4 linked regions of the Neurospora crassa OR74A genome follow. The protein of the gene in region 1 interacts with the protein of each later gene in a biochemical or structural test. Links are inferred from orthologs where the notes say so. Each region holds a gene or a part of one and is shown in the gene's direction. Other genes may lie near its edges. The genes, in order: NCU01793, NCU07839, NCU09076 and NCU09317.

Region 1 (7,501 bases):
CCCCTCGTCGTCGGAATCGATATCGGCCTCCATTCTCCAGTTGCCACTTTCGAACAAGGCACGACCGGTCGCTTCCTTCGCCTTCCTTGCGGCCTCCTCGGCAGCCTTCTTGTCGAGACGCTCCTTCTTCCATTTGGCGAAACTCTCGGGTGTTACGGGGGTGAGAGTGCCGGTGAGCTTGTGCCTCTCGGACTCGAGGAACTCCTCGAGCGTAAGGGTCCTGAGAGGCGACTTGTCCAACAGCGCCTTCTCAGCCGCCCTTTGCTCCTTGGTCTTGAGAACGAACCTACAGAGATGGTGTTAGTTATGAGAAGAAGCTAATGGTGCAAACCCCCAACTTACCCAGGCGGCAGAGCATGCTTATACATGCACTTGTCTCCTCCGTTCGGGCAAATCCAGAACCAACCGTACTTGCCCTCCTCGATCGCTTCGATAAAGAACTTGCACACCTTGTCGGTGGTGGTGCGCTGGTTGCCCTTCTTCGACAAGACGACGGAACGCAGCTTTTCTTCGTCCCAGTCCGCCGAGGTCTCTTGCTTCTTCTTGTCGTCCTCCTCTGCTCGTGTATCTTGGTACAGATTCCTCTTCTCGACCTTGCGCTCTTGCTCCAGGTCGTGGGAAAACTTGCACTTCTTGCCCTTTTCGCAGTTGCCCTTCTTGAAGAAAATGCAGACAACGGTCTTGGGGTCGACACCAAAGGGAACCTTTTGGATCTGGGCGGGCTTGTTGAGAAGCAGATCGGCCTCCCTCTTGGCATCCTCAGCCGCCTTCTTCTCGCGCTCACGGGCCGCCTTCTCGGCTTCCTTGCGTTTCTGCTCAGCGTTTCCGCCGTTCTTCATTGAGGCCTGCAGGGCGGCAATCTGCTTCTGGGCGGCAGAGCCCTTCTTGTTCTTCATGCCGAAGGTCTTGTCTTCGACAGCCTTCTTCTTGCCGGCGGCCTTCGGTTCCTGCTTCTTGGGAGGCATGATGGGCAAATATCGCGATCGGGAACCAGAGAGTAGAGTTTGTGTGTGTGTGTGTGTGTGTGTGTGTGTGTGTGTGTGTCGTGATGCGCAAGTTAATGGATCACGTATGTATGTTATATCGAGTCGCTGTCGCAGCTGGGGTGGTGGCGGCGCGTAGGTTGTAAATAGAGCGTGTTGTCGCAGCGACCTTCAAAAGATTTGCAGACGAAGGCGGGGATCTCGACCAAGTCTTCCTGGAGAGTTTCTTGGAGGCAATTCGAAGTGGGTGGGTTGAAACAACTCTAACCAAAGTGGAATGGGCCCACTGACGCCGCCCGGGATTTAAAGCGCTGGGGTGTCCGCCCACAGAAGCCCTGACGTTGGTCCGGGCAGCGCAGCCGGTATACCTAACGAAAGAAGAGGTCCTTCCTTCAGCTTGGGTCCGTCCACGTGACTATCGGATCCTCTTGTAAATGAACGGATGGAGATGTACCGATACATCGATGCTGCGTCGCGGCCCTCAAGGTGGAAAGCTGTCCATAACACCCGACAATCGGCATCATCACTTTCGAATTTGCGGTCCTCCCGGCGCAGAACAGCCAGTGCGATTGGCATCACCAAGAAAAAGTGAGCACGGCATTTTCTTGTCTCTGTCCAGCCGTCTGATTGACAGCTTTTTGAGCAGCAGAACAGCGCCCTTTGGACCCACTTGAACTCCCCTCCAAGCATTGCGAGTCGCAACAAGTCTACAGCTACCAGTTACGGCACCGAACGAATACCCAACACAGACTTTTCCTACGCCAACGACACAATGATTTCTGACGCCGAACTTTACCGTCTCGCCATCGTTCTCGGGTGCGCGGCCATGGTTCTTATTGTTCTCCACCACTTCCTCGAAACCAATGCCGAAGATCTCGAAACCGATGTTGTCCAGGAGAAGAAGGCAACAAAGGTGGCATCGGCCCCGACCAAGGCAAAATAGGACACAGCGTCCGCAAAATTGTACGGTACGAAGACAGAGACTATATTTCACAAACGGCACGATACAGCTTGTCCCGCCCTTGGGACATCTGGTTGGGGCGAGGCCGAGAAGGACAGGAGACAGACGGCCTACAGAACACTCTCTTCTACTGAGGGCAGAGCAGGACAGAGCTGGTCTGGGGCGCAACCGATATGCAAGGGAAGGGAACCCCGGAATCACAAAAGGAATACAGGGACATAGCATTAGGAAAGTAACGAGGTTTCGGGCCGAGGAGGATTGAATGGGTCAGAGTCGGTTGATACCCCATGGTTGACCCAATGCATAGGAGCAGACTCTTGCACTGGATTTCAGTTTTTGTTCGGATCATGGTGTATCATGTCACCAGTTAAGTAGCAGAAGGGTGCCAAGCGCTCTGGGTAGCATGACTGACTAATAATATGGTTTGTTCTTTTGTTATGTGCAAAGGGGTCGTTCTTTGTTTCCGCTTGTGAAAGAGCTCAATTGCAAACGTCCCTGAAGAAGCAAGTGGAAGCTTGGAGTGTGTGGGATAAGAACATCCATAAACAAGGACACACAGCTCCAAAGGGTCCCTGAAAGTGGTGACGCGTCTCGGAGAGTTGGCTATGTGTCCCGCCATCGCAGGTACCGGTACCATAACAGAACGGCCCAGCTGCGTCAGGAGGGATGGGTCTAGCCCCAAAGAGATTAGCGTACCAATGAGTGCCATCAGCCAAAGCGATTGCCACAAGGCTGTGATTGGCCATGACTGTTCTTTCCCCTTCTGAGCGAAGCCAAAGCGGTGGGGTGGCCAGTGCGGCAAGGATCCCGTCACGTTGGATGTTGTTCAGGACAGGCGCGTGTGGCCGCAAGTTAGTAGTGTATGGGCGGGAGCCTGCTCAGCCTGCCAAGCCTTGACGAAAGCGCAGCGAGGTGGCTCCGGTCCCCGTCGGTTCTCCCTCAAATTCTGGGCGGACACCGGTTTCTACTCCCTCCTCCGCCCCCCCCTCGTTCACCTCTCTCGCCCATTCACCACTTTATCACCCAAACAACACCACCTATTCCCCAACACAACCTACTATCACCGCCAAAGCCAAAGTCCATCACCGATACAGCCCATCCGCTCAAGACCCATATTCTTTTCATTGCTCGCAGGACTGCATCCAACTTCGTCAGCCTGACCACGTCCATTTCCACTTGCCATTCGAGTCGATCAGATCACAGTGTCGCTGCACCTTTTCCGTTGCAGCGCGACCCTTGCTCCGCTTCGACTTCACGCGACCTTGCGCTACCAGCGAGTCGTAACCTGACCTCCCTATCACTCTTCTGCCCAACGCGACCTTCGCCAGCTCTACTGCGCATCTGAGCCCGTCCGCGCTTCCTAATCTCTGAAGCCACCTTGACCACGCGTCTCGTCTTTCTCACCACTTCTAAATCACTTTCCAGCAACCCACCGCCATAATGTCCGGAAAGCTCGACCAGTCTCTCGACGAGATTCTCTCCACTCAGCGCCGCGGTAAGTCCAACGCCCGCGGCCGTGGAGGTCGCCGCTCGGCTGGCGGTAAGCCCACCAATGCTGCCCCCGCTGGCGGTATCCAAAAGAACACAAAGCCCGCTCGCAACGCTGCCAAGCCGGCGCCCGCAAAGAGTGCTGGTCTTACCGGCGAGAGCAAGATTGTCGTGAGCAACCTGGTGAGTCGCGTCCTCCAGCTTTCTCCTGCGTAGCATCCTTCACCGCTAACTCCCATCGCAGCCCAAGGACGTTTCCGAAGGCCAGATCAAGGTATGTTATTACCGATGAGGCCATTTAGCCTTCGGACTTTTATCGACATCCCTCTTCCGTGGCGTATCCAATCGGCGTCGTTTTCTCCACTGGGCGGTCGGGACGGTCGTTTATTGCAAATCGGCCCTAGGCCATCAAGACTGCCGTTGATTGCTCCTCCCTGACGTGTGTCATTACATTTCGTCATGTTGCGAGTTGAGCAGATCGCAGTCACGCTCTCCCCTCCTTATCATTGTGGTGGCTGGCAAGCGCCTCTGGTTCGGAAAGGGACAAGCAGTGCAGGATCCGGCAGACAAATCTTGTATGGGAGCCTAGCTGGGGGGTCATGCATCATCTCTTCCTGGCTGGTCACCTTGAAGTCGATCTTTGCACCCCAGCGCGCCACGCAGTGAGCGATGTTCGAGGCTCTGTTTCTCATGTCCTGGTTGGACGATTTCTGGGGGGTTTTGGTCCATCAGGGGATTTACAACTCCGGGGAACCGGGGTCTAGCATCGTGGTTGTTCGGGAATTCTACGAGAGGACGGCATCACATCAACTGGACCATGCTTGGATTGTCTGGCATAACTGGATCCCTTCACACGTCCTACTGCTTTACGGGCTGTGGGCCCAGACGCATCGGATCGTATGGATGGCTCTAGTGAGTGTTGGATTTTCGGCTCACCTGCCAGTTGCTGGTGTTGCTGACCTGGAGATTACGCGCGCTGCTCTGGCTATATCCTGGTTTTGGGCCGGCTCGAGATAATGCCCTAGCTTTGACCGATTTGAAACCGAACCGTTACGAACACGACCACACTGAAACTGGCGCACGACGCTAACCACGAATTACCCTGTGATAGGAATACTTCCAGCAAGCTATTGGACAGGTCAAGAGGGTGGAACTTTCGTATGGGCCCGGAGGCACTAGCCGCGGTATTGCTCATATTACCTTCCACCACGCCGATGGTGCTACCAAGGCGTACAACACTCTCAACGGTCTCCTGATTGACAACCGCCCGGTCAAGGTACGCTCATTCTCCATTGTATGAATCTTCTGGTTCTGGCTTTTCTAACGTTCCCCTAGGTCGAGGTCGTTGTTTCCAATGCCGAGTTGATCCCTCAGCCCAAGAGCCTGACTCAGCGTATCACACAGCCCAAGGCCCAGCCCAAGTCTGCCGCCACTGTCAAGCATGCCGCCAACGCCCCCAAGGGTGCTGCTGCTGCTAAGCCTGGCAGCAAGAAGGGTCCCCGTCGCCCTCGCAGCGCCCGCCCTGCCAAGAAGACCGTCGAGGAGTTGGATTCTGAGATGGCTGACTACTTCGAGAGTGGCACCACGGACAACGCCACCGGAGCCGCGCCGGCCGCTGCCAACGGTGGTGATGCTCCCATGGAGGACGAGATTCTTTGAACGAAGGGTATGCATGAGGAACAGCAACAGTCGATGAGAGCGAATGCCAGCTTCAGCGACAACTTTGTTTGACGGATTTCGGATTGTCTATGATTGTTTTACTATTTTATTTCGGGTTCGGGCAGGGTCTACAGCTTAGGTCAACAGCTTGATGAAATTTTCTCCAGACTCACGACGACCTTCAATTATCGCCTCTCCACTATTATTCTATTAGCGAATGCTGTATGACCTGCGACTGGTTCGCCGCGACCTACCATCTCGCTCCTGTCGTTTACGGTCCCTCTGATGGAAGATGGATTGCGGCAGGACACGTCTGCCAAAGGGCCAAGGGTCACAATTTGGTGTTGTTATCAGCACTTTGTCACTTATCCTTTGGTCGCCTGTTAAGCGTCTTCCCCTCCCAGTACCCCAAGGCGATGAATATAATTTCGAACAAATAGCTCGCCTCTGCTACTAAATTGTTGGAGCGCAACGGACATATATGTCAGCGAAGCGGGAGCAATATCCACAGTGGTCCTTTTCACATCGCAAGTCACGACCAAATCTAGCATGCGCAGGGCGTTGCCTTTCTGTACTTTACAGAGAGCTACACCTGCGGAGGGTAAATTGTGCATCCCAAGACCAGAAGAGAAAGCTCAAGCAGCTAGATCAGCGTGGATCGAGGACCCTCGAGCGCTTCCGGGCAAGAAAAAGGCGGAAGTTAATGTCATAATGCCCCGAATTCTGCCACGAACGTAAACAGTGCTTCACGTGCTGATAAGAGGGCACCCTTTCCTGCCATTCCTCCGCGATTCAGCAAGCCGTAGTTCCTCCTCATTCACACACGGCAGTAGAACTACAACCACACTTCTGCTATTTGTCCTTCTCCTTTCCCTTATCCTTCTTCTTCTTCTCCATCTTCCTCAGCTTCCTCTCGCAGTTCTTGCACACCACGGCTTCGGTAACAGTCTTGCTTTCGATGCCTGCCGCGCAGTGTCCCAAATGCTCTCCTCTGTATTTTGGTTTGCAAGGGCTTTCTGTCGATCGGCCTTGCACGAGCTCGTCACACGAGGTGCAGTAGGAGTCGACAAAGTGTTTGGTACACATCTTAGTTTGTAATTGGTTGGTGTGCTGGAGGGTAGTGGTGGTGGTGGTGGTGGTCTCAGAGACGTAAGAGGCGGTGGAAGTAAATGCGCATGGGCTGTAAATTGGTTTCCTAGAATTGTTGCTCAAATACTCCCTAAATGAAGGGCGGAAGTTTTGACAAGAGCGCAAGGATGGATACAAATGTTTGTAGTAATACCTGTAATGTTTTGCAGCAAGACTTGCGAGTATTCAGTGGATGCTATTGTCTCTCTCAGTAAAATAGCCGGTTCATTCTTGGTGGAATCGCCAAGGGTGGGTGACTTGTGCGAGTCCGTTCGTGAATAGGGTTAAGGTGTCAAGTACAATACTGCCTTGGCTTGGTAGTCTTGAATTACTTCTAATGCCCGTCATCTTTATTCTGAGATTGCAGAGCGGTGTTGACCAAGAGGGTCCAGACGGGCTGGTACATACAGGTCACTCGCCACTCGAGGGTTCCTGCGTAGGGATGGATGGTGTATGTGTTGGTCGAGGTCCATGATGTAGGTTGAGGAAGTTCTCTGAGGGTTTGTCGTTCGTTCGTACTTGGCCACCGATTATTATTGGGGTAATAACACGTCGTAGTGTAGAGATGGAAACGTGTTGGCTGGGTATAAACCGTATTCCCATCTATTTTGTTCTTTTTCTTCTCTTACTGCAATGACCCCCCCCCCCCCAATTCCACATGACCTACCTGTCACGAGAGCCATCAGAACCAGTTCAACTCTATCCGCTCTGGGAAGGTTTGCGAAGCTCTTGCTACATGAAATGAATTAACCACTTGGTGTTATTGGCTTGACAAGCTCCATTACATGCAACTAAGTATGCTTATGACCATCTGTTGAGCTGATACCAAAGCATCCTCTGTCGAAAGTCGTGATAATGGTGACTGGTAACCTGTCTAGCAGGCACTGTCAAGCACATAATCAATATTTGCCATTCCCAAGTAAGCTCCGTTATGTCACATTTCCCCTATAACTGTGTAATCCCCTCCCCACTTCCGTTCCTATGTCCGTTTAACTTTCCACGAGCACCGTCGTCCTAAAAATGACCAAAACGCCCTGTCTCCGACATGTACGATATCCCCCTCTGGCCAACCAATTCTACCTCCCACATACGCTCTCAGATTTTTGGAGCAATCCACTCCTCATCAGCCGGCCAAGCCAAGATAGATGCTCCCATCTGTGCATCCCTCGCGGCCTCTCCAGCTGTATAGGAAGCCGATGCTGATGAAGGTGACGATGGGGAGGAGGAAGAGCGGCTGCTGGCCGCGCTGGAGGTGGTATTGATGGTGATGGTAGGGCCTATA
Region 2 (7,290 bases), on another chromosome or scaffold:
CGCTCTTGAACACGACGAGATCATGAACGGCAAAAAGCCAACGGTTAAGGCAGACCGCAGAATTCTCCAAGCAGAAGCGGATCGAGTTGCTGCTCAAGCGGCCTTGGCTCTCCGCCGTGCGGGTGAGGAAGCCAGAAATGTGCCCATCGGCACGGTCACTTGGACGGGCGAGTACGGCGAAGCTGGTCGTCCGGCGCCCCGTCATGAACGCGGAGGTTTCAGCTCAGTAGGTGTTCGCGGTGCAGCAGGCGGTGCAGGTCCGTCGAGAGCATCGAGACCGGCAACACCGTCTGATAAAAGGAACCTGAAAGCAGAGGACTTTGAAAGAATGATTCCGGCGTTCATTAAACGACATGGTGGCAGGGTCCCATCGAAGTCGCTCGTCGACCACTTCAATCACTATTGCACGGGAGCGAGGCAGGCAGATATGTTCAAAATTGCTCTGGAGAAGGTGGCCAAGTTGGAGAAGAAGGGGTCGAGCATGCGGGGCATTTGGACTGTTCGTCCGGAGTATCATTGATGTTCTTTCGGACGATACACAGATAACGTTCACATTGGCAGCCAGAGGTATAAGGGCGGTTTTGATCTCGAAATTGCCAAGACGGACTGGAACCCTGAATTACATCAATGGATTTGTACAAGATCTAGATGGTGGTCTGAAAAGATTATGGAGGACACTATTGGGGTATGTATGTCTGGGAGCTTACACCTCCTTGGAAGAGAGTGGATGGGTTATCGCGTCGCCTTTTCGTTGCGTTTATGATACCAACGTATGTAACTTTTTTTTTTTTTTTTTTTTAAAAAAACAAAAAAAAAAAAACCAAAAAAAAAAACAAAAGAAAGAAAACACAAAAAGAAAACAAAACAAAACGAAAACCAAGCGTCGGCTTTATTCATGTCCAGTCTTGCCTGCTTAATCAATCGCGTGAATAAATGGCTGTAAAGATTTGGTAACCAACAGACTTAAGGTGCTCTTCACGCTCCAGTATTAATAGTGACTTTTCGCTGCCTTTATCAAATGCACAAACCTCAACTTGAACATGATATCGAGCACGTCTGACAGCGATGTGCAAGCCCAAGAGACTGGAGCCGGAGCCGGACTGAGACTCGGCAATGTTGTCACTCCGGATGCAGTTTCCAATGCCGGCAATGCAACCGATCGGGCGCCACCACCGCTCTCACCAGGAGACTATACAGTGTACAACCGACTAGACGAGCGAATGGACTACTTTGTCTGTGCTCATCCTTTCCTGCACTCTATTCCTCGATATCAGATTGAAGTACAATCACTGTCGCTCGGTGTGGAATACGCTCGACACAGCTTGTACCTGTGACAACGGTAGTCAAGGCACAGCAGCACTGACTGAGCGACAACCCATAGAATGCGGGCTCCGTCACTCGCTACCTAAAAGCTCACCAATCCATCAAAGACTTGCATGGTTTCCTTATAGCAAAGCAAATGCCTCAATTGAGAGCTGCCATCAAGGCCCATAATCGTCAACGTCGTCATCATTATCAGCAGCAGCATCAGCATCGTAAGCGAAACGGAAGAAGAGTATCAGGGGGGGCCAAAGGAGGACATGGAAGAAGCAGCGAACCATGATTTAATCCAGCAACACCGTACCATTCACTTGGGCATGGAGCAGTTCGAAAAGGACCTGAAGAATTGCAGGAGCAAAGAGAAAGCGTTTAGTCTGCTGGTGCTGGAGCGTTTGGATCAGGAGGTGGAGGAGTTGGGGCGGAGAGGAGAAGATGAGTAAGTTTTGGGAGTTTGGAGGGGACGGAGAGATTGCTGTTGTCCGAAAGAAACCAAGAGGGCAAGTCAGGGAAGGGGCTTGAAGGTCGTGAGTAGTGTAGTGATCGAAAAATGTTTCAGGACATGGAAGTGGTGGTTTGTGTTGAGAGAATGTGGCTGATGGTGGTGGACTAGACCAGGCGGTGGTGATGGATTTATTGCCACTCTTTGTGTACGCAGTAGTGTACATCCTGGTCGGCTGCGGAACGGACTGGAAGTTGCTGCTCCCAAAGTCTTCAGATGAGGTGGGAGATGGATGGCAATATGAGGCCTAAGTACGGCTGTATACACGTGTAGAAACATGCTAGCATCGAGCATGGACATGTATGTGAACAGGCAACTCCTATAGAATGTGGTCAAGATTACAGATTCTCTTTTCCGTTCCCTGACAGCTGAGGTGAGCGACGACGGATGATTGCCCAACAACCGCGACGCGCAGCAAAGACTGCCAAGCATAATCCGCCAGTGAAGCAAGAACGAGAACCCTTCTGGCAAAGCGGAGTCGGTGAACCAGGTGACGCCAATTCCCGCAAAGGTGGACTTCTGCCTGATTGATAAGGCCACACATGCCTTATCGGCGCTTTATCTGTGCTTATCTGTGCTTGTCAACAGTGAAAGAATGCAGGCCCGCCAAGTGTTGCCAGTCGGGTCCAGTTTTTTTTTTCTCTGGTGCCAGACCGCCCCTACATGGAAGTCTGGGGGACAGGTACGGCAATGCCCGGTCCCCTCAAATCCGCCTTCGCTGTAACGACTGCAGTGAACTGAAGGGAAGGGAAGAAAAAAAAAATATTTTTCTGGGGCACTTGCACGCAAGGGACGCGTTGCGCCTTCCGCCTCCAACAAAAAGAAAGACTTTTTCTTCCCGCTTGGAGGCGAGTCGGGTCTGGCACAGGATCCGCATCTCACATCCACTAGCACTGCACAGCGGAACCCACCAATCCTCCATCGACATCTCCCTTTGGTCAGGTTCTTTTCCCATACTAACCTTACGTGACGGGTCCTTGTCCAGTGCCCCCAGAGTTTTTTTCGTTTCGACTTCCGTCCAGAAAAACTTGCACTTCACCCTTCGCAGCAGCCCTTTTCTTCCTTCCTTCCACCCACCCTCCATCTCCAATATCCCTTCCCGCCTACTTCTTGCGATTCTGCAAGATTCTTCATCCGCGATCCTTCTTTAACCAGTCGGACTGCTTACTTGTAACCACTTCACGCGTGTCGTTTGGTTCTTGTCTCTAGACGTCTGTCTTTTCCGACGTCTTCTTTTCCCGACAATCGATACCCTTGCGCCTCTAGGCCTTGTTTGCTCGTCGTTTCGGTCTACCCTTCAGCAACCCCAATAACAACCGATCTTCAATTTTCAACCTTTTCTTAAACAACCAGCAAACATGTCCGGATCTTACGGCGGCGGCGGCTACGGTGGCCGCGGTGGCGGTGGTGGTGGATATTCTAACGGGTACGATCGCAATGGCGGCGGCTACTCTAACAACTACTCCTCACACGGGTATGATGTTTTAGCGCGAACCTGCTCATTTCCTCTCTCTCTCTCTCTCTCTCTCTCTCTCTCTCTCTCTCTCTCTCTCTCTCTCTCTCTCTCTCTCTTTGCATTTCAAGATCAAATTGCTAACATCTGGTTCAACAGTGGCTCGAATGGCTACGGAGGCGGCGGCGGAGGATATGGCGGCGGTGGTGGTGGCTACGGAGGCGGCGGCTACGGTGGTGGTGGCGGCGGTGATAGGATGTCTGCTCTCGGTGCTGGTCTGCAGAAGCAGAACTGGGACATGAGCGCTCTTCCCAAGTTCGAGAAGTCCTTCTACCAAGAGCATCCTAGCGTCGCCAACCGATCTCCTGCTGAGGTCGACAAGTTCCGCGCAGACCACTCCATTGCCGTCTTCGGTAACAACGTTCCCAAGCCTGTCGAGACCTTCGACGAGGCTGGTTTCCCTCGCTACGTTATGGACGAGGTCAAGGCTCAGGGTTTCCCTGCTCCTACTGCCATTCAGTCGCAGGGCTGGCCCATGGCCCTTTCTGGTCGCGATGTCGTCGGTATTGCCGAGACCGGTTCCGGAAAGACGCTCACCTACTGCCTTCCCGCCATCGTTCACATCAACGCTCAGCCTCTCCTCGCTCCCGGCGATGGCCCTATCGTCCTCATCCTCGCCCCTACCCGTGAGTTGGCTGTCCAGATTCAGCAAGAAATCTCCAAGTTCGGCAAGTCGTCCCGCATTCGCAACACCTGCGTCTACGGTGGTGTCCCCAAGGGTCCCCAGATTCGCGATCTTTCCAGGGGAGTCGAGGTCTGTATCGCCACCCCCGGCCGTTTGATCGATATGCTCGAGTCTGGCAAGACCAACCTCCGTCGTGTCACCTACCTTGTCCTCGATGAGGCTGATCGCATGTTGGACATGGGTTTCGAGCCCCAAATTCGCAAGATCATCGGCCAGATTCGCCCTGATCGTCAGACTCTCATGTGGTCTGCTACCTGGCCCAAGGAGGTCCGCAACTTGGCCGCCGACTTCTTGACCGACTTCATCCAGGTCAACATCGGTTCCATGGATTTGGCTGCCAACCACCGTATCACCCAGATCGTCGAGGTTGTTTCCGAGTCCGAGAAGCGTGATCGCATGATCAAGCATCTTGAGAAGATTATGGAGGGCCGCGAGAACCAGAACAAGATCCTCATCTTCACCGGCACCAAGCGTGTCGCCGACGACATCACCCGCTTCCTCCGCCAGGACGGCTGGCCCGCTCTTTCCATCCACGGCGACAAGCAACAGAACGAGCGTGACTGGGTTTTGGACCAGTTCAAGACTGGCAAGAGCCCTATCATGGTTGCCACCGACGTGGCTTCTCGTGGTATCGGTATGTATCCATCTTACCCCTCCGCCCTGCCCAAACCCCTCCCCCCTTCTTCTCTCCCCCATCTCAGGCGACTTCCAGCATACGTACGTGCTTGTGCTTTACTCTTATGTCTAGGGGCTCTCTTGATTGCGCGAACTTGCCTGACCTCGTGTCGACTTGGTCTATCTGAGTGGAGTCTTGGGTTCGTGACGTAGCAGAAACAGTGGACTATGCTACGCCCGCGTGATTCTTCAATTGTACCTTTTTATCCCAGTTGTGGTACAAGCGAGGAGTAGGCATTTCTTGATTCCCGTCAAGCTTGTCTCCAAGATTCCCAAGGGGATTTGCATGCATGGCCCAAGGATCTCTGGAACCTTGGATCCCAACCCGGCATATTTTTCGCAATGGACAGCCCACCTGCCAAGGAGAGAAGTACTACCAGAGGATCACAGAACATACCTAGATATTCGTGTTCTCCGTCCGTTCTGGAATGTCGTTATTCCAAACCCTGCTATTGCTAACCACGGTCCTTTAAAAAAAGATGTGCGCAACATTACTCACGTGCTCAACTATGACTACCCCAACAACTCCGAGGATTACATCCATCGTATCGGCCGAACTGGTCGTGCCGGTGCGAAGGGTACTGCCATTACTTTCTTCACCACTGACAGTAAGTGTCACCTGAATCTGCCCATCCTTAGCCGAACGAAATTCTAATGTTATCTCTCCACAGACTCCAAGCAGGCTCGTGAGCTCGTCGGTGTGCTTCAAGAAGCTAAGCAGCAGATTGACCCTAGACTTGCCGAGATGGCTCGCTACAGTGGTGGTGGAGGTGGCCGCTTCGGTGGCTATCGCGGCCGTGGCGGCGGTGGATGGCGCGGTGGTAAGTCATTTTCACGCAGGTGAATTTGGCAGTTCCAATCCTAATAACCCTCATTAGGCCGTGGCGGCGGTGGTGGCGGCGGCTCCGTCGGTGGTGCTAATGCTCTTCCGCTTAACAACCGCCGGTGGTAAAGCACCACTTGAAGCGAATCAGCACATATCAATTGACCTTCCTGGTCCAATCCATTGTCGCCATGGTCATTCCACACGACGAATGGCCCATTACAGCGACAATTTCGACCTCGAACATGATCACGGCGTTTTAGTAGAGGATACGGTCTAGAGGTTGGTTTATTGCTTTCAGACGCTCACTGGTGTCTGTTTTCACCTTGACGTCTAGGTGGTATGGGTGTGGCTTTGTTCTTTTTTTCTCGTATTCCCTTATTGTCATGCTTGCGGGTTACTATTTTCACTGAGGTCAGCCGGGGTTCCAAAATTTTCCTTCATTTTTTCGGAAAGTCTCATCTACAGGTCATGTTGCACCACAACTGCACTTGCAGATCATCAAACTGTCCAGGTCAAGATGGCCGGGTTTTATACCCTTCACCATATCTCGTCATGCCATTGCTCCGTCAAGGCATTATATGACTTATGACGACGGCTTATCAGTCGAGGTGTGAACAAGAGATTTCAACTCTCTTGCTTCCCTAACAGGACGGGCGCAGGCTTCTCGCCTCTCATCCTCGTTGATTAGTGATGATCTTACCGCAGACTTGTGGTAGCAGTCGATAGGTACTATCCTCTGCTTTTTGTGTTGTACAATAGGAAGAGGATCCTTTTCAAAGCATCACGGCTTGAAAGATTTTCGAAGGATCTGTCTAGTCACCAAGAGAGTCAGAGATAAACACGCGCTTTGTTTGCGCCCTTGGGCGCTGCAAGACTACTGCTCACCAGCTGGGTGGGATGTTTACGGTAATTGTCACCGAGAGAGGGTAGTAGAAATGAACTGGGTAGGTCTCCAAAGAAAGATACAGATACCCTTTATGCTTAGATGGAAAAGAACATTTACGCTAGAGGTCTCTGTCCTAGCTCGCTGTCTAAGTGATTGAGGTTGAATGTTTTGAGGTCTACGCTCAAGTAGATGTCTCGCTCAAGTGTGTACCTGTGACGATTTCCCAGAATTCCTAGGGTAATTCAACGATTTGATTATGGAGTGCTCGCGATAAAGCTGTAGGTTTCACGTCGATGAGTCTTCTCTACGAGGTTAGTCCTTCACTTCCATATAGAAGATCAGTATGAACATCTTTCTGATATATGTGTCTCGTAACATTCGACTTAATGCTCTGTACTTTATGTTCGCAGAGTATTTCCTGTTCTACTCTCTCACTCTGAGGTACTGATTGACTGTAGAGAAGCCGCTTGGCACGATTTGTGCTGCGTTCCAAGGTTAGTATGAATTGTGTGCTTTGATATGTTAGTCTTGTGATTAGGTGAGAAAAATGAGCAACCTCCAACCACGTTTTGCGGGCTTCAGCGTCACGACTACTATAGTCTTATGATTCCGGTGTTGATTTTGCTGAATGGCCATCAGGTTAACATATGGGCTCGAGTGTCTGCTGAGGTCCGATCGTCAAGTAACTAATGATGATGAGGAAGGAGCGATTCGAGGTAAGGAGAGAACGACTTGATGTTGGTGGGTCTCTGGCATTCACTGGGCACAGCACTGGGCACAGCCCCAGTCCCCACTCTGTGCCCTGCCCAGACCGCACCATATCTAGCCTTCCAGATTCGGCCAGTCTCCCTCTTCCTCTTTCTTCTCTATAGTACTTAATTAATTG
Region 3 (7,457 bases), on another chromosome or scaffold:
CAACTCAGTGCCGACTTGGGTGACAACAATAATCCCAAACCTCCACACCAAGAAAGGAACAAACGCCCAAACAATAACAAAACCAGAAAACCAAACACTCACAAGACACTCGGCAAGCACTGCACCAACAAGCCGTCTAACCACTTGATACCATTGTAAACCGGTTACCCTGACACAGGAATTCTCTCACACCTACCTACCTACGCGATTGAGTGAACAAACCCCTACCCACCCACCCCACCACTCAAAGAGACATCTTTAGCAATGGCAAGCCACCGCAACACCATTTTCGGCACGCAGATCAGCAGCGGGGCCGGGTACGGTGGTGGTGCCGGTGGTGGTGGTGGTAACGGTGGTGGTGGTAATGGCTACGGCGGAGGAGGAGGAGGACGACAGTCCATGCATGCCCCCGGCGCCGGCGCTTCGTTGTCGACTTCTTCTTCTTCTTCTGGACAGAATGGCGCGGCGGTTAAGGCTAGGCAGATTGTATGTGTTCTTTTTCTTTTTTTTTCTTTTTTTTTTTTATCTTTCTTTTGTCTCGTCTCGTTGATTTTCGGCCTTTGCTTGAAGATGGAGAAGGGATGCTTGTGGTGTTTAGGTGGCACTGCACTCTGATGTCTATACGTATCCTGTCTTTTTACACATTGTAGTCATCGTACACTCTGACTATTTCGATCCATCATATGGTTGTACATGCTACGTTTCTCCATTTTTATTTTCTTTCCAGAAGAAAGAAAAAAGAGAGGAAGGAAGGAAGGAAGGAAGGGAGGGAGGGAGGAAAATAAGAAGCTAACAAAACCCGACTGACTGACTAGTCCCAACTCCACGCTCAATTAACGCAACTATCCAATAACCTCGCCGACACCGAGAACCTCTTGCGCATGACCAGCGTGCAGGCAGAGTGCATGAGGGGGTTGGGGAGTTGGCATGGTGGATTGTAAGTCATCTTATTCTTTTCTTTCTTTTTTTTCTTTCCTTCTTTTCCCGTTTGTTTGTGTGTTTCTTCTCTTTGCCTTCCCTCTTCCCTCTTCCTTAAATCACTGCACCAGCTGGAAGAGTTTTGAGAAATTACTGATTCGAGATGATGATGATACACACAATACAGGTTCATGGCAGCGAGTAAAGTTCTAGGAGAAGAAAGTGTCCAGAGTGTGCAGGCTCAGCAGGTGGTTGAGCAGCAGCAGGGTGGTGGTCAAGGTGGTCAAGGTGGGCAGGGTGGGCAGCAAAGGTGAGGGTGTGGTGGAAGATGGGGATGAGGTTGCGGTTGGGTTGTGAACTATGGAAACATTCAGTTTGAACAAGCGGGAGCAAGGAGGAACAGGCGGTCAAAGCAATCACGATGATACGGGATACGGAGTTACGCGTAACAGAGCAACGAATTATACCATGCCATGATGTATGTTCATGAAAGAGTAGTCACTGGAGGTTGTAGATATGTGTGAAGGGCCGGCTTCCTGATATGGTTTTGATTTGGTTCGTCTGACTAACACGGCAGCACGGCTTCTACCAGTGTTCTTGCGATTTCCTCCAATTCGGGCTAGAAGGTTTGTAGGTGCTAGAACGTCCTCAGTTGTCCTTCGCTACTAGCCAGTCTGGAGATGTTGAAGCGGATACACTCCCTTGTCGTGACCCTGGATCGTAAAAATCCACCCCGCCGTAGAAGACGGCTTGCTACTCGCGAGACCTCGGGGTAGGTCCCGGAACTGGTTACGATCGGTATGTTACCACCAGACTTTCTCCGACAGGCCATGTCCTCGGACCTGACCCGAGTCGACGTAACCAAGATCCTCACCTTGGCTAGGCTCTTCAACTATTCTCCTGGCCTCGGCGTGTTCAATGAAGAGGGACATGCAGCCTCGTCGGCGCTTTTCCCACACATCTGGCTGACCAACTCGAGCATGATGCTTGTCGTGCTATTTGGGCGTAAGTCTAGGTTGAGACCGACGCTCTTCTCATGTTGAGCGCCGTCCAGCCTCGATCTCATTCATCCTTTCTGTTCCCGTACTTCCACCTCCGTCTGACCCTGCGGCTGTTTCTGCTTCTGCTTATGGCCCTGTTGCTTCTGCCCCTTCCCCTTTCCGGCAACAGGAGGGCCATCGACTTCCATGGCATCCCCACCAGCCGCGTCTTCTCCCGTTATCCCGCGTTCCGTCTTCCGCTTCGTCCTCTTCGCCTCAATTGGATACCTCCTCTCCTTCTTGCACGCATGACACCTCCTTACCAAGACATCCGCCCACGGCTTGCGCCCGCCCTTGCTCCTGTTCTCAATGACCGTTGTGCATGTTGACCCGTCAATAAGAACCGAGTCGCAGTACTTGCAGATGGTCCGCTTGACGGCAGGACTGAGACGGATCCGGGTCTTGAGGGACACGGAGCGGAGGTCGGTGGCTAGACGACGGGACATGCCTTCTAGTGACGTTGGTGGTGGAACAAGGGGAGCCAAGGCTGAGGATGTGGAAGACGGGAGTGATTGGTGTTGTTGTTGTTGTTGTTGTTGCTGGTGTTGTGACTGAGACTGCCGGGATAGAAAAACGGCGGCTTGCTGGAGGAAGGAGACGCGGGAGTAGATTGCCCTGTTTTGGACCCCGCCGTTGTTTTTACCGCCGCCTTTGGCCATTTTTGCTAGTCTTGTGTCTCGTTTTCTATTGTTCTTGTGTTGGGGTATTATTTTTTTGGCTGATATTATTGAGTGCTGCTTTTGTCCATCCACGGTTTGTGGAAGAGCGTTTGTTCTTTGTCGTTTGCAATTGGTGCCAAGACTGGCATGCAGTTGGCATTCACTGTGGATGAGGGCGGCGCTGCAAGGGAGTGACTGAAGGTGTTCGGAAGGGTCAGTGCGTCACTCATGGACCGGGAGCCGCCAGAGCAGGGGCAGCTGGTATGATGCCAACATGGGTGCTCAGCCACAGTTGCCTCATGAAACAAGGCGGACTGCCAGCTGGCGTTCTCCTCAAACCTTGGGCCTTTGGACTGCAACAGGCGGGCGGCCACGCCTGCGCCTCGTCCAGGTCACGCCAACAGTCACGACGGGGTGGTGGTGGCCGGTGGTGCAGCGCCCCCCCCGGGTGCGTGTGCGTGACTGGAGCAGCGACGGGAACCTGAACCTGCTGCTTATTTTGGAACCTTTCGTTGATCCGTCGCACCCTCCGACTTTTCAACATCTTCCAACTTCCATCAGCGCGTCGCCTCTTTTCCTCTCCACTTCTTCTCCGCAGCATCACGTAGCCTTCTGCCTCGACTGGTCTGCGCAACCTCATTCGACTCCAGCAATCTTCCACTTTCTTTCTCTTGACCGGATTTCTCTTCCCCAGCTTTCTGTTGTCGCCTTCGTCGTAGTCGTCGTCAGCCGCACATTCCAGCCTTGACACGCTCTCTCACTAATTAATCACAACCACTCACCCACCACTACCACCACCAACACCACAACCGCCAACATGTCCGCCGAGGAAGATCTCATCGACTACTCTGACGACGAGCTCAACAACGACTCCGCCGCTCCCACCAACGGCAAGAAGGCCGAGGCTGTCCCCGCCGGCCAGACTGTCGACACCAAGAAGGGCTCCTATGTCGGCATCCACTCGACTGGCTTCCGCGACTTTCTGCTGAAGCCCGAACTTCTTCGCGCCATTGCCGATTGCGGCTTCGAGCATCCCTCGGAGGGTTAGTCCTGACAAATTTTACCCCCAGCTTATCGTTACACCTCCTGCCTCAAACATCGGGTTCCGTCCATCATCGCAAGCAAATACAAAAGACTATACTGCGTCATCATGGGCACTTGGCACGTCGGAAGAGGAGCACCGAAACGCGCGCTGCCGTCATTACGCCTCGGGGAGGAAACGTGGTGCTTTGGCGGTTAGCGTCCACCACCACGACCTACATCATCATTTTGTTCACGCTTTGCGTCTCGGAAACGAGCGTAGGCTGTTCGCGCCTTCGAGCGCTGCTGGAACTTGGCACCCCGGTACACGCGACTACGATCACGGTGCCGAGGTGGAAATGGCACAATGGCGAGCGGAGAGCGATCACCCCAAAAGGCTCACCCTCGGGCTAAGCACCCTTGGGCCCTTCAATGGGGGATCCCCGGTCAAGGGAGACTTTGTCCCCTGCGGTCTCGAAAGAGTCGTCGACCGCTTTATACTAAGTCGTTGATGACTGGTGATGTCATGGAACCGTTACAATGCGCGTGACACCATCACGAGACGCGTCTCTTCACTCGATCCATGCTTGGAACAAATATGATGTCGGCACCACGCACCTACGACGGGAGGAACGGATAAACGAAAAAAAAGTCTTTTTGCTGCTGCGACGATGGACGGGCCCTTCGCTCTCGATACCACCCTGTCCTTCTTCGTACCCAATTCAAAGCTTGCGTAACTCGATTCTAATCCGGTCCTCGAATACAGTTCAGCAGACATGTATCCCCCAGGCCATGCTTGGTGGTGATATCATCTGCCAAGCCAAGTCCGGTCTCGGTAAGACGGCTGTCTTCGTCCTTACCACTCTTCAGCAAGTTGAGCCCGTCGCCGGCGAGTGCTCTGTCCTCGTCATGTGCCACACTCGTGAGCTCGCTTTCCAGATCCGCAACGAGTACAACCGCTTCAGCAAGTACATGCCCGACATCAAGACCGGCGTCTTCTACGGTGGTACTCCCATCCAGAAGGATGCCGAGGTTCTCAAGAACAAGGAGACCCATCCCCACATCATCGTCGGTACTCCCGGTCGTCTCAACGCCCTGGTGCGCGACAAGCACCTCCGTCTCGGAAGCGTCCGCATGTTCGTTCTCGATGAGTGCGACAAGATGCTCGACCAGATCGGTAAGTTCCCGTTGTAGTCAACAGCCGACCGATGGTCACTAACCCCCAAATAGACATGCGCCGCGACGTTCAGGAGATTTTCCGCGCCACTCCCCAGCAGAAGCAGGTCATGATGTTCTCCGCTACCCTGTCGGACGAGATCAAGCCTATCTGCCGCAAGTTCATGCAGAACCCTACCGAGCACTACGTTGACGAAGACACCAAATTGACCCTTCACGGTCTTCAGCAATACTACATTCCTCTTGAGGAGCGCGAGAAGAACCGCAAGCTCAACGAGCTTCTCGACGAGCTGCAGTTCAACCAGGTCATCATCTTCGTCAAGAGCACTCTCCGTGCTACCGAGCTGGACAAGCTTTTGCGCGAGTGTAACTTCCCTTCGATCGCTGTCCACTCCGGTGTGAGCCAGGAGGAGCGGTACGTACACCTGTCCCGACATCATTGTGTGGGCGCCTACTGACTCTCCTTGTAGTATCCGTCGTTACAAGGAATTCAAGGAATTCAACAAGCGTATCTGCGTCGCCACTGACGTCTTTGGTCGTGGTATCGATATCGAACGCATCAACCTCGCCATCAACTACGATCTCCCCGCCGATGCCGACTCTTACCTCCATCGTGTCGGTCGTGCTGGTCGTTTCGGTACCAAGGGTCTTGCCATCTCCTTCGTTACCACTGACCAGGACAAGGAGGTCCTCAAGGCTATTGAGAAGCGCTTCGAGGTTGCTCTTCCGTAAGTTCGCCACACCTTTTTCGTCCACCAAACATATACTAACCCCGCTACAGTGAGTTCCCCAAGGAAGGTATCGATGCCTCCACCTACATGGCTTCCTAAACGGTTTATCAAAGAAAGGACAGTATGTAGCGTGCTTTGAGGATGGATAATGTGTCAAGGGCTCTCGGTCACAAAGTTTGTCTCAGGCTGAACTCTCCATATTTTTTCTGCTTTATCTCTCCTGTTTCTTCTTTGATCATGAACTGGTGGAAAGCTTGATTGGTTCCAAAACACAACAAAAACAAACGAAAGGGAAATGATGACGTACGTACGGAGCTATGAAAGGCCCGAGAGGAGAAAAGCTTAGAGTTCTCTTATTTGTTACAAGGTCGGAAGCGTTTCGGCTTGTTGTTATGATAACTGTAGCTTGGGTCTGATAACTGGGACAAAACAAGAGCCTGCCTGTTCTTTTTGGGAAGAGCTTCGAAGATCTGGATATTGAGATGTGAGTGTGTGACATGGTCAAGAGACAAAAAAGTAGACTGATTTGATGCGCGGCAGCTTGGTCGATTCAGCCTCACGCAGCGTCATCAACACGTATTCTCGCATCGGTTACCTTGTCAACAACTGCCAAGGCTTATTATTTTACAGTTGCAGTTCTGAATTATACGTAGTTGGAGGTAATACGAGTTTTTTGCGTCAGTGTGGTCCCATAGGAAGCGCGTGATTTCAATATTAACAATGCCGCCAACGACAACAACAAAACTTCTTCTCCCGCGACTTATACAAAAGGGGTTCTCCCAGCTCCTTCTCCCACCCTCATATACATTTTCTTTCATTCAGTGGTCCATCTCTCAAAAATAACATCTCCCTACACAGTATAACTCCAATCAACACACCCACCCACCCACAAAAACAATGAAAACCATCGACGACTCCGACGAAGACCCCTCTTCCTTCTGGGGCAAAATGGAATACGCCCGCGTCAAACCTTTTGCCGCCCAATTCTATTCTCCCGATTACATCGAGAAGTACCCCTTCGATTCCCTCGACCCTTCCTATGCCAACAAGCTCGATCTCTCTTTCGCCGCTCTCTCGCCCGCCGAACAATTCCTGCGTTTACCCAAGGGAATCGTCGAAAACACGGATGGATACCTCTCTGAGGGCGACCTGGAGAAAATGCTTACTCGACCAAGTTTTCTTGCTTGAAAGATGTTTGAGATAGGATTAGGCAGTCCACTTCTTCGCACCAATCACTCAGTTCCTCTCACAATGATTTGCTTGATCTTGGAAGGCACTCGTGGCCGAGCACCGGCGAGCTGAATGAATCATGATTTGAAAGTGATTTCTGGGACCCAAACATATGGGAAAGTTCTTGATTCTGCGAAAGAGAAGACTGGCCAAAGACCTGGGGGACTTGGGTTCTTCTCGTGACCAACCAGGCTCCCATACAGTAAGTCGCCTTGGGAATGGCTTCCTCGTCAGTCCTGAGCTCTTTCCGTGCCAGCCATCACCGCGATAGTTTCCTTCCACTTTACAGGATGTGCCTTCTGCTGTTGTCTATCTTCAAAGTGGGGTGGGGAGTTGTTAGTGCAGGTACTGCCGCAGTCCGATAGTTCACCCTCGAACAGCACTTTGCCCTGTGGACGCAAACTTCAGGTTCAAGAACTGCGCTGGACAGGGGATCCAACAAGCAAGGTTCAGATGGAAGGGCCGTTGGTTGAAGGGACTTGTTCGGGCGGAGGCCTGATATTCCCTCCTTCCATCAACCTGTACCCCTCCTCAGCGATCCATGAGTGAACTTTCTTTCCCCAATCACTCATAACAGCTGGGATTCCGACTCCTGTTGTTTTCTAAACCTTTTCTTTCTTTCCTTTTTGCTTCCATTAAATCGGATCTGGTCATCGCTGCCGCTGTAACAAGACTTCATTTGC
Region 4 (7,269 bases), on another chromosome or scaffold:
CATATTCGTTGCCACCCTCTTCACAGTCGCTGATAAGTGCGGTATGTCGTGCTCGAGGCTTGTTGGTCTGTTTGGAGACCCCGGTAGATTTGGTTTTTGCTGTCGCTTGACGTTTCTTAGGTGCGGCATATTGCTCTGCTTCCTCTGCTTCCTGCCCACTCTCGAGGCGCGGCCTCTTCTTTTGCCCCTTTCGTGACGTTTCTCCTTCTGTTTCGTCCGCAAGGGGCGGCAATGGTATCAATTCCCAGGAGGACGTGTCTGTTTCACCGTATGGCTTAGTATACCTATTCGCAGGAGCTTGAGACTTTGCCAGGCTCCTAAACAGTTTCACACATCGCTTGGTATATTCCCCGTGTTTGACATGGATGGTTTTCTGGACCACTCGTCTGGATGTTGGATGGCGATACCAGTCTATATCCAACTCTTCAACCTTCGAGTGTCCGAGGGGTATCTTTGTATAGTTTCTGCGGAGCTCGTTTTCCTGCGACGTGCTCAGCAAAATGCTTTCGAGTTTGGGCCGTTCGGCAATAAAGTCAGTTTCCTTAGGCGCAGGTGGCCTAGCGGGTGGTTTGGCTGTCTTAGCTCCAGCTTGACCAAAGAAAGAAGCCTTGATGAACCCTGTTTCAACACCGTCAGGCATGTTGAACTTCTTCTTTGCCGGCTTTGTCCTCATTCTTGCGGCAGATCTTTTTGGTTCTGGGAGCTCTGGATTTTGGGAGTTCTCAAGTGGAATCTCCACAACCTTCTTTTCCACCTCAGGTCGTATGTCTCGTGGCACAATACGTGAAGAAAGGTCGTGACGAAAGGTAAAGCGGCTGCCCTCGCATATCATTCTCTGCATGGTCGCGTAGTTGTCCTTCGCCTCGTTGAATTTGTCTTCCTCTTTCCCTTTCATCAACAAAAGTACAATGTTACCCGCTCTCTTGCGGCCGGTACGACCCATACGCTGAAGCATTCGGATCGGTGACGCTGATGCATCGTAGCAGACAATGAGATCCACTTGGCCAATATCAAGACCCTCCTCGCCAATGGATGTTGCGACCAGAACGTTGTGAGCGCCGTTCTTGAACTTCTCGATCGTCTCAATTTGTTGTTTCTGTTTCATGCCCTCACTCCTCTTCGAGTCCGCTTGTCCAACGAAGACTGTGGCCTTGATAAGGGGTTGCTTGTTGAGAATGCGCACAATCTCTTCGGCACTGTCTCGGTATTCACTGAATACAATGGCTCTGGTATTGGAGCCCTCGCCAGCATCCATGAAGTGGTTGACCAGGGTCTCACAAAGATATTCCAGCTTGGGGTGTCCGAGGAACCCATCAATCTTCATCCAACCCTCAATCATGTCCATCATCTTCTGAAAGTTCTCATCCTCCAAGACTTGCCGCTTGAGCTTTGACCCTTTTCCTCCTTTCTCCTCCTCGGTGGTGCGGAATTCGGCCAGATTATTGTAGAACGGTTTGATTCCATGGAAGTTGAGTAGTTTGATGGAATGCGCCAAACTCTGGAGAATCGCAAATGTGGCTATGACACTGAATTTGGTTCCTTGGTTTACGTGCCTACCCGGACCTGCCATCCAGTCATTCCTGGCTTTCATCAGGCCGTAGGTAGTCAGGCTCATGGGGTCCCTGCCGTAGTATATATTTTGTGAACTCAGCTTGGTCACAAGGGGCTTCAGGGCCTTGGAGAACAAGTCTCTGACTTCCATCATTTCGTCAGAGGGGTCGAATGTTATCGTGTTGATGTCTCTTGAGTGCACATATTGACGAATGTCGATTGACTCTTCGGTTCTGATCTCGACGTGAGAAATGCCCAGATTATCAATGACGTCCTGAACACCTTCGAGAGACGATCCTGGTGTAGCAGTCAGAGCAAGAATTCGAAAGCTCTTGGAGAAACGCCTTAAAAATTCGACCACCTTGACGTATGCATAGTCTCCAGTCGCACGATGCGCCTCGTCAATAACCAGCAGTACGATGGACTTGGGATCGGCATAGCCCTTGGAAAGGTCATTCATTAGTGTTTGGGGTGTCATGAAGAACAGGCGCTTTGTTGCCCATTCGTCCTCACGTAGAACAGGAGGAGTCTCTCCGGTTAGGAGAGTCGCCTGAGATCGCGGGATGCCCGCTATGCTGAGACATGCTTGAACTTGTTGTGAAGCAAGGGGTTTCGTAGGAGCAACAAAGACAGCCTTTGCGGTTTTTGTCCAGCGGATGTAGTTTAGCATGATTGTCGCAGCAATAAATGTCTTTCCCAAACCCGTGGGGAGGGCGACCAATGTGTTGTTGAAGAGGCCATTTTTGACAATGCTGAACTGGTAGTCTCGAATAGGTCCCAGATTCATCGGATAAACCCATGTTTTCATTTCTTCTATGTCAATCTCATGGTGAGTGGGCTGCTCTGGGGGCATATCGGCACGGAATGGTCGATTCGACACCGCTTGCGGGGCGGGTTGCGCATCCTCCTCCAGCGTGCCACCCCATAGTGTCGTCTGACGCAGATTCTTACGCTGGCTGGACTGAGCTAGGGACGGGCGAGACGTTGTCGCTGACGTGGTCGGCTTGCTTGCTGTTTTGGCACGCCCTGTAGCTGTAGCCTGACCCTGCGATACGGTTGGAGTAACGATTCGTCTTGCAGAATCGGATATTGGCCACGCTTGTGCTGGTGGTTTTGCCGACGAGGCAAGCTGCTTGCTGTTGCTGGGGTGATGTGATGTGATGTTGCCGGTGGCCTGGGTGAAGGCCAACATCAAATCCTCATCAGGAATATCGTCAAAGTCATCGTCATCCATGACTTGAGAGTTGTGAGGTTGTAGAAAAGAAAGAACCTTGACGATTCGAGATTCGATGCGCCGATGCTTGGGCAGTTAATACAACCGGACTTTGTTTTCTTGCCTTTTTTTTTTAAACTTCTTGTTCTGGTGATGAAACTTAAGGCTTGTCGGATGAAATTCTTGGAAGTGAAACAATTGACATTCATAACAGTCCGTTTGCATAGGTGAACCGACCCTATCGTCACACAAGCCCGGCCTGATATGAGACGCGTCGCTGTTTTAATGGACGGGCTATTCCCTTGACACGTTCCATCGCCATAGCACGTGAATTGGTGTGGGCAGTCTGGGTGCTGCCGCCTGGGGAGTTCGCAGCAGAACAGCGTCAGAGTGGGGCTGTTGCATCTTGGGTGGGGCAGGTTTGCGTCAAAATCCGATCGCTTGTCTCTGTGGTCCGCTGGAGCCTGGCGCACTGGTCGGAGCTTGGCTCATTGCCTTGAGTTCAAGTTGCATGCTCCTCCACTGCCGCCGCTAAGGTATTTCCTTTTTGGAGGTCCGGCAGGCTGAACCTTCTTTCTTCCATTCTCCAATCCGTCATCGAAACCTTCCTCATTTCTCGACCTTCTCGCGTCGTCAGTTGGCATCGGCAGCCCAACAAACTCTTCAGTACTGACCGGCTGATGACTCTTGCGCATCCTCGTACTCGCCCGTTGCTTCAGAGCTAGCAGCTTCCGTACGCATATTCAACCAACGATCACGAGCGAAGCGGCGGCCTTCTACTTCTACTTCCGTACCTTTGGATCTCCGCGTCGTCTTTGTCGCCCCACCTCCAAGCATCTTTTACATCTTTCTTTACCTCGACAAATCCCTTTAGAGAAGCGCACCTAGACTCTAAGCGAAGTGTCCTTTGACACCTATCTGGGCCACTCTCAAATACAGCGTCCCAAATCCACCCAGCGGTGATCAATCCCCGGTCGGCATCGGCCGCCTGTTTTTCTTGAGCAGGCCGCTCTCCCGCCTAACGGCGACACCAAAGGTAAGCCTCGACTCTGCATCTTAGTACCCTTCCCCAGTTCCCCCGACCACGACCGGAACTTTGACCATCGGGGCAGCGAAGAAGTCGGCGAACAAGGACAACTCGCAACTCCACGACTCACTGTCCTTTCATCAACAACTCGGCGAGAAAAAAAAATCACCCGCAACTCACACCGAACGTTTTCTCTTCAGAATTCAACGAACAACCATGGCACCTCCTACTGGTCCTCGCGCCGGAACTGGAAGGGCTCCTCCTCGTGGACCCCGAGCAACAGGCGGCGGTGGCGGAATCCAGAAGCGTCGCGCAAACCCGAGGACGGACCGAGATGGAGATGTGTCAATGGATGCTCCGGCTGGTGGCTCTGGTAGGGGTGGGTTGGCTTCCGGTGGTCGAGGACGTGGCTCCAAAGATGCTCGAGGTGGAAGAGGTGCGGTGAACTCCCGGACAGCATCCCGGGTCGTGCAGAACCTACAGAACTACGTCAGCGGAGGTCCCGTCGGCAAAACACAGTCCAATATGGCCACACTGAAGATTCACGGTATGAGCAATAGCAAAGCTACCGGCAATCGCGATGGAGGGCTTCGGTCACTTCTCACCTTTCTGGAACGAAAGGCTTCCAAAGACAAAGCAGTTACAATCGGCAAGGTATACTTTCCCATCCACCGACATCCCCAAGCGCGCAATATTCTGCAACTGCGATAACCGACACCTTCTAACCCATCGATAGAGTATAATGGACGGCGATTATGTGTGGATCACGGTCAGAAAAGATGACGCCCCGGAGATCTTGAGGCTCAATGGCTTCACCTATGCCGGTGCACCCCTGACGATTACGGAAACCACCGAGAGGATGCCTCGCCCCGAAGACAAGATTTCCAAGGCTGCTGAGGAGACCAAACAAAAATTGACAGCAGTGCTAGCTGCGCGCTACAATCCAGAGTTGAAGCTGCTTGACTTATCTTCTCTTGGAACCGATCCCATCCTCAGCAGCATGGGCACGTTTGATTCCAAGGATCGGGCCGAAAAGGCCTTCAAGGTCTTGGTAGTTATTGCTAGTCAGCAGTACAAGACCGCTGCCGAAAAGCGTGAAGGGATACAGGCCATTTCCCTTGCTAGCAACGGCCTTAACGACGTCATGCAGGTTTTCACGCTTGCTACGTCACTTCCAGATATCAAGAGACTTGACCTGAGCAGCAACAACCTCGACAGTCTGTCCAAGATCTCCAAGTGGCAGCACCGCTTTCAGTACCTCGAAGAGCTTCATCTCACAGGCAACCCCATCACCACCCAGCCCGACTTCGTGGCAGAACTCATCAAATGGTTCCCATCGCTACAGAACATCAACGGACAAATTGTTCGCAGCCCACAAGAGGTTACTGAGGCCCTCAAGGGCATGCACCCCACGCCACTACCGCAGTTCCCCTCCAACCTACGGGACGGGGAGGCCAATGTGGCGAGCATCTTTGTCCAAGTTTTCTTCCCCATGTTCGACAGCGACAGAGCTCGCCTCGCCGCTGAGTTCTACGACGACGACTCGTGGTTTTCGATTCAAGCCATTGCCAATTCTGGTCGTAATCTTCCTTGGAAAACTTACCTCAAATACTCCCGCAACGTTCACAAATTGGGAGAGAAGAATCCAGCAACGGTACAACGTCTCTTCACCGGAGGAAATCTCATTGCGGACATGTGGAAGGCTCTCCCCAGTACTCGCCATCCAAGCATGGAGAACCCTGGTGCCTGGCTCATCGACTGCCACACCTTCCCCAACCTCGCGGACCCCACCGGCCACGGCTTCGCTACGGGATTGCTCATCACCGTCAATGGCCAGTTTGAAGAGTCCGATACTACAGAAAACCTCTACGGAAAGCGCACCTTCACGCGCACGTTCATTCTTGGACCCAGCAAGCCGAGCAACCCGCCGCCGGTGCACCCATACCGGGTTATTAGCGATCAACTCACCCTTCATGACTGGACACCCGCGGAGACACCTGCTGGTCAGGCCCCTGTCGCCAACCAGGTCCCGCAGGTTCCGGTTACCAACGCTGTGCCTCCAGCAGAACCTGTCATGTTGGATGATGCCACGAAGAACCAGCTGATTCAGGAGGTGATGAAGCGGACTGGCATGACAGCAGAATACTCAGAGTTGTGTCTCAGTGGCACTGCCAACTGGAACTTTGAGCTGGCACTCAAGTCATTCGAGGAGCAGAGGGCGAACTTGCCGCCCACGGCCTTTATCAACGCTGTCTAGGGGACAGCGCAGGTCACCAGCGTCAGCATGGTTTGTTAGTTCATGGTGGATCAGCGCTAGTTGGGTAAATACCCTCTGCCTGGATGAGTTGGAGACAAAGGAAAAGGAAGACAAAAACTACTGAAAGCCAAGGAACGAAGACTGGGAAAGAGGAAAGGGTTTAAGGGTCAAGGATGAACTTTGTACAATACTTGCATTGCCATACTATCTCAAGGGAGCAACGGAATGGGTCGGTTAGCGGAATTCTTATAAGGCGGTCACTCGACTTGATATTGCGGAAACTTAGCGTGCGTTAACAATTGAGATACCTGGAGCTCTTTTGGGCTTTGACCAAAGAGTCTCCCACATTCACGGTTTTTTTTCATCTAATTATAATCTCTTTTATTAATATTTTCTCCTATTTGGGTGAGGACGCTTACGGAAGATGCTCGAGCGTAATTGGTACACAACGTTCATGCTGGTCAGGCCCAGTAGCTTAACCACCGTGAAATTGGTAACCACGGTTGTGATAAAGTACGAGATCACACAGCTAATAAGATCTCGAAGCCGCGCGCCATTCTTGGCGATTGGGGTTTGGTGGTGAGCATCTGATTGTTGGTTTCCCCATCATGCGACGTTTCTTGAATCGCTGCTCCACTGCGGCCACTGCCACCCCGGCAGTGGATCGGTACCTGCATCTGTCGATCTTTCATAGGGCGGCTTTGGGAGAAAAATGCTGAGTGGTCCTGGTACGATGAGCAGTCATCATCACCTGTTTGGCCTCGTCCAATGGGCGCCGGCAAGAGTTTTATCGGATGAGGGGTAGTATGGGCGCTTACTTGTATTGATCTTGGTTGTTACGACTTACGATGGGGAAACAATCATGTTCGACACTTGAACCTGAGTGAGAGCCAGGAATAAATTTTCCGTTGAGGATTGGCTTTTTCTACGCTTTTCGCTTTTCGGCGATCGGTTAGGTGATCGGTTATCTATCATCAGTGGGAGTGATCGACATTTCATATGCTGGCTAAAGGTATGTGATCGATTAGATGAAAGACGACCAAGCGGATGTGAATACTTATATAATCGCGGGAGTTGCGACTTGTCATCCTTCAATTGAAGCCTTGTGTTGAGTAAGTGTGAGGTAAGGTAGTTTTCTCCAGCCAGAACCCATCACTGCATTCCAATGGTCGGCGAAAGTTGAGTTTCTATTGATCCTTTCCGTACGCCAGGACGCCATTC

The links.
Region 2: the proteins of NCU01793 (region 1) and NCU07839 form a complex in vitro, tested with the Saccharomyces cerevisiae proteins (2 studies listed by BioGRID). The link is inferred for Neurospora crassa OR74A from reciprocal best matches to the Saccharomyces cerevisiae genes YRA1 and DBP2.
Region 3: the proteins of NCU01793 (region 1) and NCU09076 form a complex in vitro, tested with the Saccharomyces cerevisiae proteins (4 studies listed by BioGRID, with this or other methods). The link is inferred for Neurospora crassa OR74A from reciprocal best matches to the Saccharomyces cerevisiae genes YRA1 and SUB2.
Region 4: the proteins of NCU01793 (region 1) and NCU09317 form a complex in vitro, tested with the Saccharomyces cerevisiae proteins (3 studies listed by BioGRID). The link is inferred for Neurospora crassa OR74A from reciprocal best matches to the Saccharomyces cerevisiae genes YRA1 and MEX67.

The regions. Positions count from the first base shown.
Region 1 is NC_026502.1:2,391,144-2,398,644, forward strand, and holds NCU01793 (RNA binding domain-containing protein), read left to right. Parts: upstream 1-2,899; 5' UTR 2,900-3,384; coding exon 3,385-3,615; intron 3,616-3,676; coding exon 3,677-3,706; intron 3,707-4,543; coding exon 4,544-4,708; intron 4,709-4,767; coding exon 4,768-5,091; 3' UTR 5,092-5,943; coding exon of another isoform or gene 5,944-6,310; 3' UTR 6,311-6,431; downstream 6,432-7,501. Other genes in the region: NCU01795 (zinc finger containing protein), read right to left, coding at 1-286, 343-965; NCU01794 (hypothetical protein), read left to right, coding at 1,756-1,926; NCU16554 (hypothetical protein), read right to left, coding at 5,944-6,310, 6,628-6,692; NCU16555 (uncharacterized protein), read right to left, coding at 7,315-7,501. UniProt on the Saccharomyces cerevisiae protein: RNA-binding RNA annealing protein. May have a role in pre-mRNA metabolism. Component the TREX complex, which operates in coupling transcription elongation to mRNA export.
Region 2 is NC_026503.1:1,034,996-1,042,285, forward strand, and holds NCU07839 (ATP-dependent RNA helicase dbp-2), read left to right. Parts: upstream 1-2,473; 5' UTR 2,474-3,177; coding exon 3,178-3,293; intron 3,294-3,431; coding exon 3,432-4,651; intron 4,652-5,171; coding exon 5,172-5,300; intron 5,301-5,363; coding exon 5,364-5,513; intron 5,514-5,570; coding exon 5,571-5,644; 3' UTR 5,645-6,526; downstream 6,527-7,290. Other genes in the region: csb (DNA repair protein Rhp26/Rad26), read left to right, coding at 1-520; NCU07838 (hypothetical protein), read left to right, coding at 1,581-1,756, 2,093-2,144. UniProt on the Saccharomyces cerevisiae protein: ATP-dependent RNA helicase involved nonsense-mediated mRNA decay and ribosome biogenesis through rRNA processing. Associates directly with chromatin, correlating with transcriptional activity.
Region 3 is NC_026501.1:765,958-773,414, reverse strand, and holds NCU09076 (ATP-dependent RNA helicase), read left to right. Parts: upstream 1-3,042; 5' UTR 3,043-3,434; coding exon 3,435-3,660; intron 3,661-4,403; coding exon 4,404-4,814; intron 4,815-4,867; coding exon 4,868-5,228; intron 5,229-5,283; coding exon 5,284-5,541; intron 5,542-5,594; coding exon 5,595-5,643; 3' UTR 5,644-6,222; downstream 6,223-7,457. Other genes in the region: NCU09078 (hypothetical protein), read left to right, coding at 265-486, 816-937, 1,106-1,232; NCU09077 (Rpr2 domain-containing protein), read right to left, coding at 1,722-1,913, 2,006-2,617; NCU09075 (hypothetical protein), read left to right, coding at 6,442-6,732. UniProt on the Saccharomyces cerevisiae protein: ATP-binding RNA helicase component of the TREX complex involved in transcription elongation and required for the export of mRNA out of the nucleus. SUB2 also plays a role in pre-mRNA splicing and spliceosome assembly.
Region 4 is NC_026501.1:4,262,801-4,270,069, forward strand, and holds NCU09317 (hypothetical protein), read left to right. Parts: upstream 1-3,273; 5' UTR 3,274-3,800; intron 3,801-3,876; 5' UTR 3,877-4,007; coding exon 4,008-4,445; intron 4,446-4,527; coding exon 4,528-6,048; 3' UTR 6,049-6,433; downstream 6,434-7,269. Other genes in the region: NCU09318 (ATP-dependent DNA helicase mph-1), read right to left, coding at 1-2,785. UniProt on the Saccharomyces cerevisiae protein: Involved in the export of mRNA from the nucleus to the cytoplasm.